Linked DNA regions of Caenorhabditis elegans. The protein of the gene in region 1 interacts with the protein of each later gene in a biochemical or structural test. Each region holds a gene or a part of one and is shown in the gene's direction. Other genes may lie near its edges.

Evidence for each region.
Region 2: the proteins of npr-41 (region 1) and nlp-13 interact in a test that uses a peptide from one of them, tested with the Caenorhabditis elegans proteins (one large-scale study listed by BioGRID).

Annotation. Positions count from the first base shown.
Region 1 is NC_003280.10:11,508,722-11,514,394, forward strand, and holds npr-41 (G-protein coupled receptors family 1 profile domain-containing protein), read left to right. Parts: upstream 1-1,951; 5' UTR 1,952-1,953; coding exon 1,954-2,366; intron 2,367-2,649; coding exon 2,650-2,754; intron 2,755-3,076; coding exon 3,077-3,200; intron 3,201-4,035; coding exon 4,036-4,474; intron 4,475-4,878; coding exon 4,879-4,982; 3' UTR 4,983-5,171; downstream 5,172-5,673.
Region 2 is NC_003283.11:4,234,582-4,238,575, forward strand, and holds nlp-13 (Neuropeptide-Like Protein), read left to right. Parts: upstream 1-1,836; 5' UTR 1,837-1,845; coding exon 1,846-1,906; intron 1,907-2,088; coding exon 2,089-2,222; intron 2,223-2,875; coding exon 2,876-2,968; intron 2,969-3,025; coding exon 3,026-3,151; 3' UTR 3,152-3,475; downstream 3,476-3,994.

The DNA of each region.
Region 1 (5,673 bases):
AGTCTCTCTGTTCCCTTTTCTCCATCTTTCCGAATATCCGACTCACTTACACAAACAAACAAACAAAAGTCCTTTGCGAAAAGCACATATACCGTCCCCTCATACATACACTACAAGAGAGGGGGCCCCTCCGTTTTCCCTATTGATTCCCCTTCTCTCGCTGGTCACTCACTCTCTTATTTCTCCCCCTTTTTCCATTTTTATATTCACGATTCAATGTGTCATCTAAACCTTCTACTAGTTCTGAACTATTTTTTCTCAGTTTTTTTTCTATTCCGGAATGTTTGTCCTTTGAAGTGCACCACGATGACCGTAACCACTTTTGTACACTATTTCATAATTTTGGAGTCTCAAAGTTGCATCTAGGTTTTGGTGGTTTTGAGCGGAGGGGCACGCCATTTTTTTGGAATCTAGTTCTTATTGTTAGAAGGGTAAGAATTGTGATCTTGTAGACCCAAAATATTATGACCTCAAAAACCAGTCATTTCACTTATTTGAAAACCAGGGGCGAAACATTTTGTCTTCTACTATAAAATTATCTCTGATTATATCTACTGCTTCAACTCATCCTCAGACCTACGTGCCTACGTGCCATGTTTCTTGTATGATTTCTTAATCTCACTGAATTTTTTTCCTATCATTCGGCCGTAAGATCTCTGCCAAAAACTTTAGCAACTTTAGGAACTTTTAAACCAAATTTTGCCAGTTTTCTGTAATTTTAAGTGAGAATGTTTGTAAAACCAATTTGTGCAACTAGCATTTCTCTAGATCCTAGAAGCCTAGATCCTAAAGTTGGTCGAGAAGTTGCGTAAGATCAAACTAGCTAGTAAGATCTCTCGATCAAAGAACTCCCTATCCGTTTCCTACCTAAAACCATGGTTTGTGCCTTCTTTCCAGGCTACCTATACATTTTGATCTATTTCCTCATACGTCAAATCAATTCACCCAATTTATTCAATCTTGACGAAATTTTTCTGTCAGTTGATCTATAAGAAGCATCAAATGTTGATCTTTCGAAAAATTGAAAATACTATGAGGAATATAAAGTCTAAAGATCCGTCTCAGAATGACAAATGATTCCGTTTTTGCACAAACATCGTCTGACCTTGGCGGAAACGTTTTCTTTACTTATTTCCTTAGGATACTTTCTCATGTTAAAAAAATTGGTATAAAGTTCCTGAATCAACAGGAACCAAGCAGTATGGGTGGTCTGGCTTTGACCACTCTGGCTTTATAATGTGGCTGAAAATTGGTAACTATTTGGTTGATCAAAACATTTGTCGCACACTCTGACAGTTATTGACAGTCTATCTTTCTATCTGGTCTACAGTAACCCTACAGTATCCCTAGAGTATACAGTAGCCCGTACTATCTCTCTACCAAAACCAACTGTTCCTCAATTGAAATACAAAAACCCTTTAAAAAAACAAAAAAACCCTAACAAAAACCCATCCTACAGCACTCATACGGTACTACAGTACCCCTGCAGTACTACAGTGCTCCCACATTACTCCTACAGTATCCCTAAACTAACCCACTTAGTATAGAAACTTAAATTCCATGTATTTTGCTAGTTGACAATTTTTTGATGTTTCCAGTTAAATTGGCCAAAGCGGAAACTATACTTCCTTTTCCAAATTCTGCAAATTTGCCGTTTTCTCTAGTTTTATTTGAAAAAAACCCAATATTTAATTAGATTACTTCTGCAACATTATCACTCATCTCATGACCTTCCATCCCCTCCTTTTTCATGTTCACCTTGAGAACTCGTAACACAAATCAAAACTGTACTCTTCCTCCCCCTCCCGCCCGCGATCACTTTTCTCATTGTCTGGCGCGTGTAAATGGTAGCAAAAGCTGGTTGTAATCATAATTACACTTTGACATTTCACTCGTTGCATTGTTGTCAATCACTCACTTTTTCCATTTTTCTCGCTGACCTCCTCATTGCAGATGGACGAACTAATCACCCTGGAAGGTGCTTCTCAATCTGAACAAATCATTGGATCCCATGATTTTTGCAACTTTTCCAATATCACCCATCATGAGCACGATGAGCAATCGATTTCGATTGTCTGGTGGAGCAACGTGGCAGTTTTACCCGTGATTGCTCTGATAGGATTGGCTTGTAATCTACTTAATATGGCGGTGCTGACCTCGAATAAAACAGCACGCCGAATCCCTTCGTGGAACCTTTTAATAGCTCTCGCAGTATGTGATAGCTTATTTTTGATATTTGCTACTCTGGATGTAACTCCATTATCTATTCCATCACTGGCATTTTCCACTTCTTTCAATCATTTTTATTCAAGAATTGTGCTTTATATTCGGACATTGGCATCAACTTTCTACAAAAGCAGTGTTTTGTAAGTTTTAGTTTTTTGAAATTTTATTTTATTTTAAGGTCGTAATATTCCAAAAAGTAAGTTTTTGGCAAACTGCCAAATTTTGGAAAAAATTAGGCATGTATATAGGCATGTATGACCTATTTTTTGATTATTTCATACATAGTTGTTCAATTTAAGATTTTGAAGCTATTTTTAACCTTCATTTCAAAATATAATCGAACGACTCAAATCCATTTCCACATAGCATTTAAATTATTTCACATTTCGCTAATACTTTTTTTCAATTTTGCAAGTATTCCAGAATTGTTGTGGCCTTCAACATTGAACGTTACCTGTGCGTCGTTTGTCCGCTAAACTCGCATCGATGGTGTACTTCAAGAAACTCGAAAAATGCGATTGCCACTGCGTAAGTGGGGGTTCTATTTTTAGCGGGATTATTTGTAAATCTATAAGAAATAACTGGGTCAACAGTTTTGGTTAATTGAAGTTATGATTCTAAATTGTGTGTATTTTGAAATTCCAGGGAGTTGAAGATCCAGGAGTTATGGTAGTTACGCAGAAAGTCCAATTGTTGGAATATTTGGAAATTTACAAAAACTTTAAATTAAAATTTCAAAAATCTAAAACTGCACATTTGTAGTGTTTTGTTTTGTCAAAAAAATCTTCCTTCCAGTTTTAAGTTTAAAATGTGTGCATAACAAAACTTGGCATAACTCGATTAATTCCAGAATTGTGCTCTCATTCCTGTGCTCCATTCAATGGCCATTGGCCTATGACACAATTCGTTGTTTCGAAAGCAATTCAAATCAATACTACTACGTGATTCTAATGTCGACAAACCGTGCTCTTCAGGTATTTACCATGTTCTTCTTTCCTACACTCTTTTTTTTTCGTTTCCAATGGCATTGTGGCGCAAAGTAGTAACTTGATATCCGCCACTGAGTTTTGTTGTAATTAGAAAAGCTTTTACTTACTGTTTGGAGAAGGTAAATTAGAAAGATGGGGAGGTAGGAATCTTTGAAATTTATTTTTAGAATCAAAATGAGCAAATCGGATTTGCACAAACACATTGAGAAGTAAACATAACACCCGATTAGTTGACAGTTTGTGACTGGAATGACTAATTGTTTGTTTCTATAGTAATTCGCTGAGCAGGGGAAAAATGGCGGGAGAATAGAGGTCAAAAAGATGATAGGTAATTATGAGTCAGTTAGGTTTTAGGTGGAAATTTATCTAGGGACCTTTGATGGGACTTGCAACATAAGAACTAATGTATCGTTTTGCTCCTTTTAGAAATTAATATAGTAATGTAGAGTAATATTTTAACTTTCTGAAAACAATGTTACTTTTACTATATGATTTTGGAACATTGCTCAAAAAATGCCATTAAAGTTGCAATGTGATGTGCGATCAGAACATTGTGACTTTGAGGCAGTAGTTGAGCAATTTTTGAAAATGTTCATTAAAAGTAAAGTTATTTTCAGAAAGTTCAAATATTGTTCTATATTTCCATATACGTTTTTAAAAAGAAAACTTCGACAACCATGAGAAAAAAGGAATTTTGTGAAACAAGCTGGAAATTAGATCTCGACAATTTTTGAAAAAAATTTTCAATTCAAAAATTCTAGATTTTATATTTTGTATTTTTCAAATCAAATTTATTCATAAATTTCCAATTTTTTTCCAGATTTACTACCGAACAATGGACTATGTGTCTTTATTCGCTTTCAATGTCCTCCCAATTATTGGTCTTCTCTACATGAATTCTCGAATAATCTTCACTCTTCGCAGAGTTGTTGATGAAGATTCAAGAAAATACGAAGAAACCAAACTTTCCGATGGTTTGATTCAGCATGATGCTCATAACAACCGAACTATGAGAGCAAATGCAATGCTTTTCGCAGTCGTCTTCATGCTTTTCTTCTGTGTTGGACCTCAGGCTCCTGCAAGAATTCTGTTCGATATGTATGGACAGTATCATCCAAAAGCCATACTTTATGTATGTTTGAGCCAACAACTGGTATTCCTGAATGCGTCACTCAATTTCTGTTTGTATTGTGTTGTGTCAAAGAGATATCGAACGTTGATGAAACAGACTTTGAAGAAGTTCTTGCACAAACTTGAAGGTGAGCAACATTTTGAAATTTTGTCGAGCTCGCTCGGCATGGTGTGTTGAAGTTTTTTTCCTGGAAATGTAAGAAGAAATATAGAAAAATATTTGAATTATTTGAAAATGACTTTTTCAAATTTAAATTTTAAAAAATTGCTCAAAAATTGACTCAAAGTCGCAATGTGTCGAGTGAATATGCCATTTGATATATCGATATTTGATTTAATTCTTGAGCAAATTTTTACAAATTTCATATAAAAGTGAAACTATTTTTAGAAAGTACAAGTATTTTTCTATATTTCTATATAAATTTCCAAAAAAATACTTAAACATAACGAAGAGAAAAAAGGGCCTGAAAACGGCCTTACATAATTTCCTACTTCATGCTTTAACTAAAGTTGAATATATTCCAATTTTCAGGAGTCGACCATCCATTCCAAATCAATCTGAAACAAACAAAGAGCAGCTCGGCACATGTGACATCTCTTGAGGATCATCATGCTCACCTCATTCAAAATGTCTAGATCATACTTGCTTACTCAAATCAGATACACGGGTTCTCTCCCTCATTCCTAGCATTTTGCACATACATATATGTATTACTAGGTTCATGCTTTATATGTACTTTTATTCCACGGGTTTTACCTTGATTCCAGTCCTTGTAATTAGAATGATGATCTTCGGAGACAGAGAATAAATCGGTATTGTTTTTTGATTTCTTGATGATTGGTGAATGGTGATGACGTGAAGGGGAAAGGTGTGTTTTGGATGGAATTTGACGATTTTCAGACGTCAATAGAGAAGCTTGATTGGGGGTCATCGGGGAATTATAGGCGCTAATTATTGAATGAAAACAATGACGAAAAATGTTCAAAGCTCAGTGATCTATAGCGGAAATTAGTTAAGAGACTTGCCAAATTACTTATGCACATCTTTCAATTAATCTGAGTGGTTGTTTACACTTGGAGAACTGTATTTGATAGTTTTATTTTCACAAAAAATGTGTCAAAGCGCATAAACTATATGCAGCAAATATCTTTTAAAAATTAAAAAAAAAACTAAATATTAAACAAAAAAGTTAACATTTTTATTCACTGTCAAAAAATGGCAACCACTCAATTTTCGACTATCAAAAAAAAGAATCGAAAAGTTTATATTACAAATTTTTTTTACTGATTTTAGGGGATCAAACATGCAAGAATGCTCGAAACTTCT
Region 2 (3,994 bases), on another chromosome or scaffold:
GTATGCGAGAATTCCCCTTAAACCTCATGAGGCTATTCTCTCACCATTTAACAATTGTCTACATTTTTTTCTCATGAAACATTTATACAAACTATTTTCTCTCTCAGTTTTTTCGTTAACGGAATCCCTAAACTTGTAACTTCATACCCCCTTACGTCTTTTCTTGGTCTTTTGTCCTCTTATCCGAAATTAGATATTGCTCCCTTTTTTCGGGATTTGTAGCCGATTTGGAGTTGGTATTCTGTTTGAGGAAAAGAAAGTTCAGAATTTCACTTTTCGTTTGTTTGTAACGTTTGTATATAGTTTTTAAATTTAGCGGGAAGATCCAATTTTTTGGGAAAAAAAATTTTACGCGAAATTCAAATTGCCACAGAAACAAGAGAATTTCTGGAATTTTCTTTAAAGTTCTGAACAGTTTCAATAATTTCTGGAAAGTTTCAGATATCTTAGAAAAGTTCTGGAATTTCACGAAAACTTTTGGAAATATCAAGAAAAATCTGGAAAAAAAAACTAGAAACTTTAGTAAGGCTCTCGAAACTTCTGGAAACATCTATAAAAATTTGGAAAAATATGCAAACTTCTGGGTTCTGAAATTTTTTTTTCAATTTTTTGGAAACTCCTAAAAATCTGGACAAAAACTAGAAATTTTAGTAAGGTTCGAAAAATTCTTAGAAAAAAAAACAGTTCGAGTCAGTTCGGGAAGCTTTGAAAATTTTCTGGACAGTTTCAGCAATTTTTGAAAAGTTTTGGAAGTTTCTGGAAACATCTAGAAAAATTTTGAAAAATCTAGAAATTTTTTTAAATTTCTAGAAAAGCTTGCAATCTTCTGGAAACTCCTAAAAAATATGGAAAGTCATATTATAGTTTGTAGTTTGTGACGTCATAGCTCAATGTATCTAAAAGAAAACTTAGTGCCAACTTACACATAGGATAGTTGTACAGTCGACGAATTGCGTTCGCCCGTGAAGCTATAGCTTTAATTATTCGAAATACTTCCTCAAAATGAAAAAAAAATTCTGAAGGTGTTCTGTGATATTTGCTTCCATTTTTTTAACTCACTCATTTTGTTTTTTTCAACTTTTTTCAACAAAAATATCTCAAACATCGCCCACCCCCCTCAAATTCGTCATGTTTCGTCGTCAATTTTCCTTTTTTACTATACGTTTTCATCATACAGCCTACAACAAAAATCTGCTATCTCATTAGTCAAAAATCTCAAAAAATGTTAGTCACTATGCTAGATTTTTACAGTAAAAAATGTCTAATGACGTTCCTAATTAGTGAATCTTGGTTTTTGTCCATCAGCTCCCCGAAAAACAAAAGAAAACCCTTATTAAAGAAGCCACCAAGCCATGGAAACTCTCATTGTTCTTCTTCTACCATTTTTTCTTGACTTGTCATTTTGAATAATTTCGTTCATTTTCTCATTTTTCCATTTACGGTAGGCTTTCAAGATTGATAGGTTCACCTCTTTTTTATGACGTCAAGAACGAGAAAAAAAACGGCGAGGAGGAAAAGGGCGTGTCCTATTGAGATTGAGATGCTCTTGGAGCAGCACACTTTGCTGTTGAACAGCAGCCGGGATGTTTTAAAATTTTCTGGTGTTTCAGAGAACGATACCATCAATTTTTGTGAAAAAGCTTAGTGTGAAATTAAGCTAGACTCTTTCATGTGATTTTTAAAAATAACAAGGGCTTCGGTCTAGACTAGATTTCTTGAACTTGAACTAACTAGAAGTCCACATTTTTTTCTATTTTTTTCCATAATTTTATACATTATGGATGCTCCCTTTTACTTTTTACACCATCACTTCCACTAAAAAATTCTTTCTTCCAGGGTTCCAACATGCAACGATCTCTTCAGATCTTCTGCATCATGTCCGCCATCGCAATGGCATACAGTCAAGGTTTGTGTTGTGTCATTTGATCAGAAACAACCAAACATTAAAGGCGAAATTCGAACCTTTTCCTCCTAATTTCATTGACTAATTGTAACAAAATCCTCTGAGCTTCAAAAATGATGTCAGCTCAGCGGAATCTTTGCAACTGAACACTTTCCAAAATTCCCAAAATTCCCAAAATTTTTAAGGTAGTCGTGACGATAATCAGAGTGCAAAGCGCAACGATTTCTCCCGTGACATCATGTCATTTGGAAAGAGGTCTGGAAACACAGCCGACTTGTATGATCGGAGAATTATGGCTTTTGGAAAGAGACAACCAAGTGTAAGTTGGTGGAAGTTGGGCAATATATTAGAAAAGTACAGTAATCCTACCGTAATCTGATAGTAACTAGTGGTAGTTGAGGTGCCATGTATTTATATAAAATGAGCCATGTTCTCCCAATATTTTTTTTGTATTTAATTTATCTGAGAATAGCTTCAATTTCAATTGAAACAATTGAAAAGACTCCCAAAAAATGTCTAAAAGTCCGACAATTAATCAAAACTCTTTTCCGGTAGTTTACAATTTTCAGACATTTTTATGAGTACTTTTTCCTTTGCAACAATTAAAATTTAAGCGATACTACATTTCCGCGATACTTGAATTTAAGTAATCAATATTCTATAACAGAATTTCAATGAATAATATTAAGAAAACATGCCACGCTGTCTCATTTTGTAGAATTGCTCGCAAACCTCGGCTGCGCATGATCCTTGAGGATCTCGGTGATGGGCTCAAACTAAAATCTAAAAACTACAAACTACACATTACACTACAGTAAAACAAATTACTTTAATCTAACCCAGTCATGTTACCAATTGATACTACTTCGCTAAATTAGGCCGCGGTAGACTACATAATTTTCCGCGAGACTTGAATTTTGTCGGCTGCTCACCCCAACTATGATAAATACATAATAACCTATCATATTTCAGTACGACAGAGACATCATGTCATTCGGCAAACGATCGGCTCCCAGCGACTTCTCGCGAGACATCATGAGCTTCGGAAAGCGATCCTCCTCTATGGTACTACCCTCTTTTTCTTATTTTCTACGTCGTTTCCGTAATCCATCTATTCTACAGTACGACCGTGACATCATGTCATTCGGCAAACGTTCACCCGTCGACTACGATCGTCCGATTATGGCATTCGGAAAGCGGGCCGAGGACTACGAACGTCAGATCATGGCCTTCGGACGGCGCAAGTAAACCATTTGGTTGATGACAATTGGGCACCCTTCATCTTGTGTATAATACTCGTTTAAGACTCATTTTAAAGCGTAATTTGATTTTTTTTTCATCTCATTTGAAATAAGAAAATTGTGTTGTTTCACCCCCTTCATCCCATTCAACAAGCGTTCAGTTTATTCGGATCTTTGTCTATTTCTTCTCTTGCCAATTCTCTATGCTTCCCTACTTATGATCTCATCATTCATTTCAACCTCCCCCCAAAAAAACCTCTCATCCCCACCTTTTTCTTATGTGCGTGCGCAGACGGACGAAAAAAAATGAAGTTGAATGTTAGACCATGTTTCCGATTTTTGAGAATGTGGATTTCGGCAGCAGGATTGTTGAGAAACTATCTAATATTGAACCAAAAATCTGGTACTGTACCCAATCGTTAACATTTAAAAATGTTCGCTCAAAATCAGCACAATTGCTCTATGACTAAAGATTTCCTTAAAAAAAATTCTGAAAATAAACAAGGAAACATTAAGCCTTGCTATTCCAGGGGTGATCACGTCAAACGGAAGCACGTCTCCGGAAATATTATCAAAACCGTGACTTTTCAGTTTTCTAGGCTAAGGTGACAAATTTATCGTGCTAAAAGGACATAGATTGAGTTAAATAGTAGACACATCAAGAAAAGGCAATAAAATTCGAAGTAATCTCAAAATATTTAAAAGTGTGCCGGATATAAAATTTTTGCAAAAAAAAGGAGAAACTGAAGTAAAGTTATCCTTTCAATTATATGGATATGGACTAAAAATGATTTTTTTTCAAACATAAAAACATTGAATGTAAATCAGTCTGTAAAATAAAATATTTAAA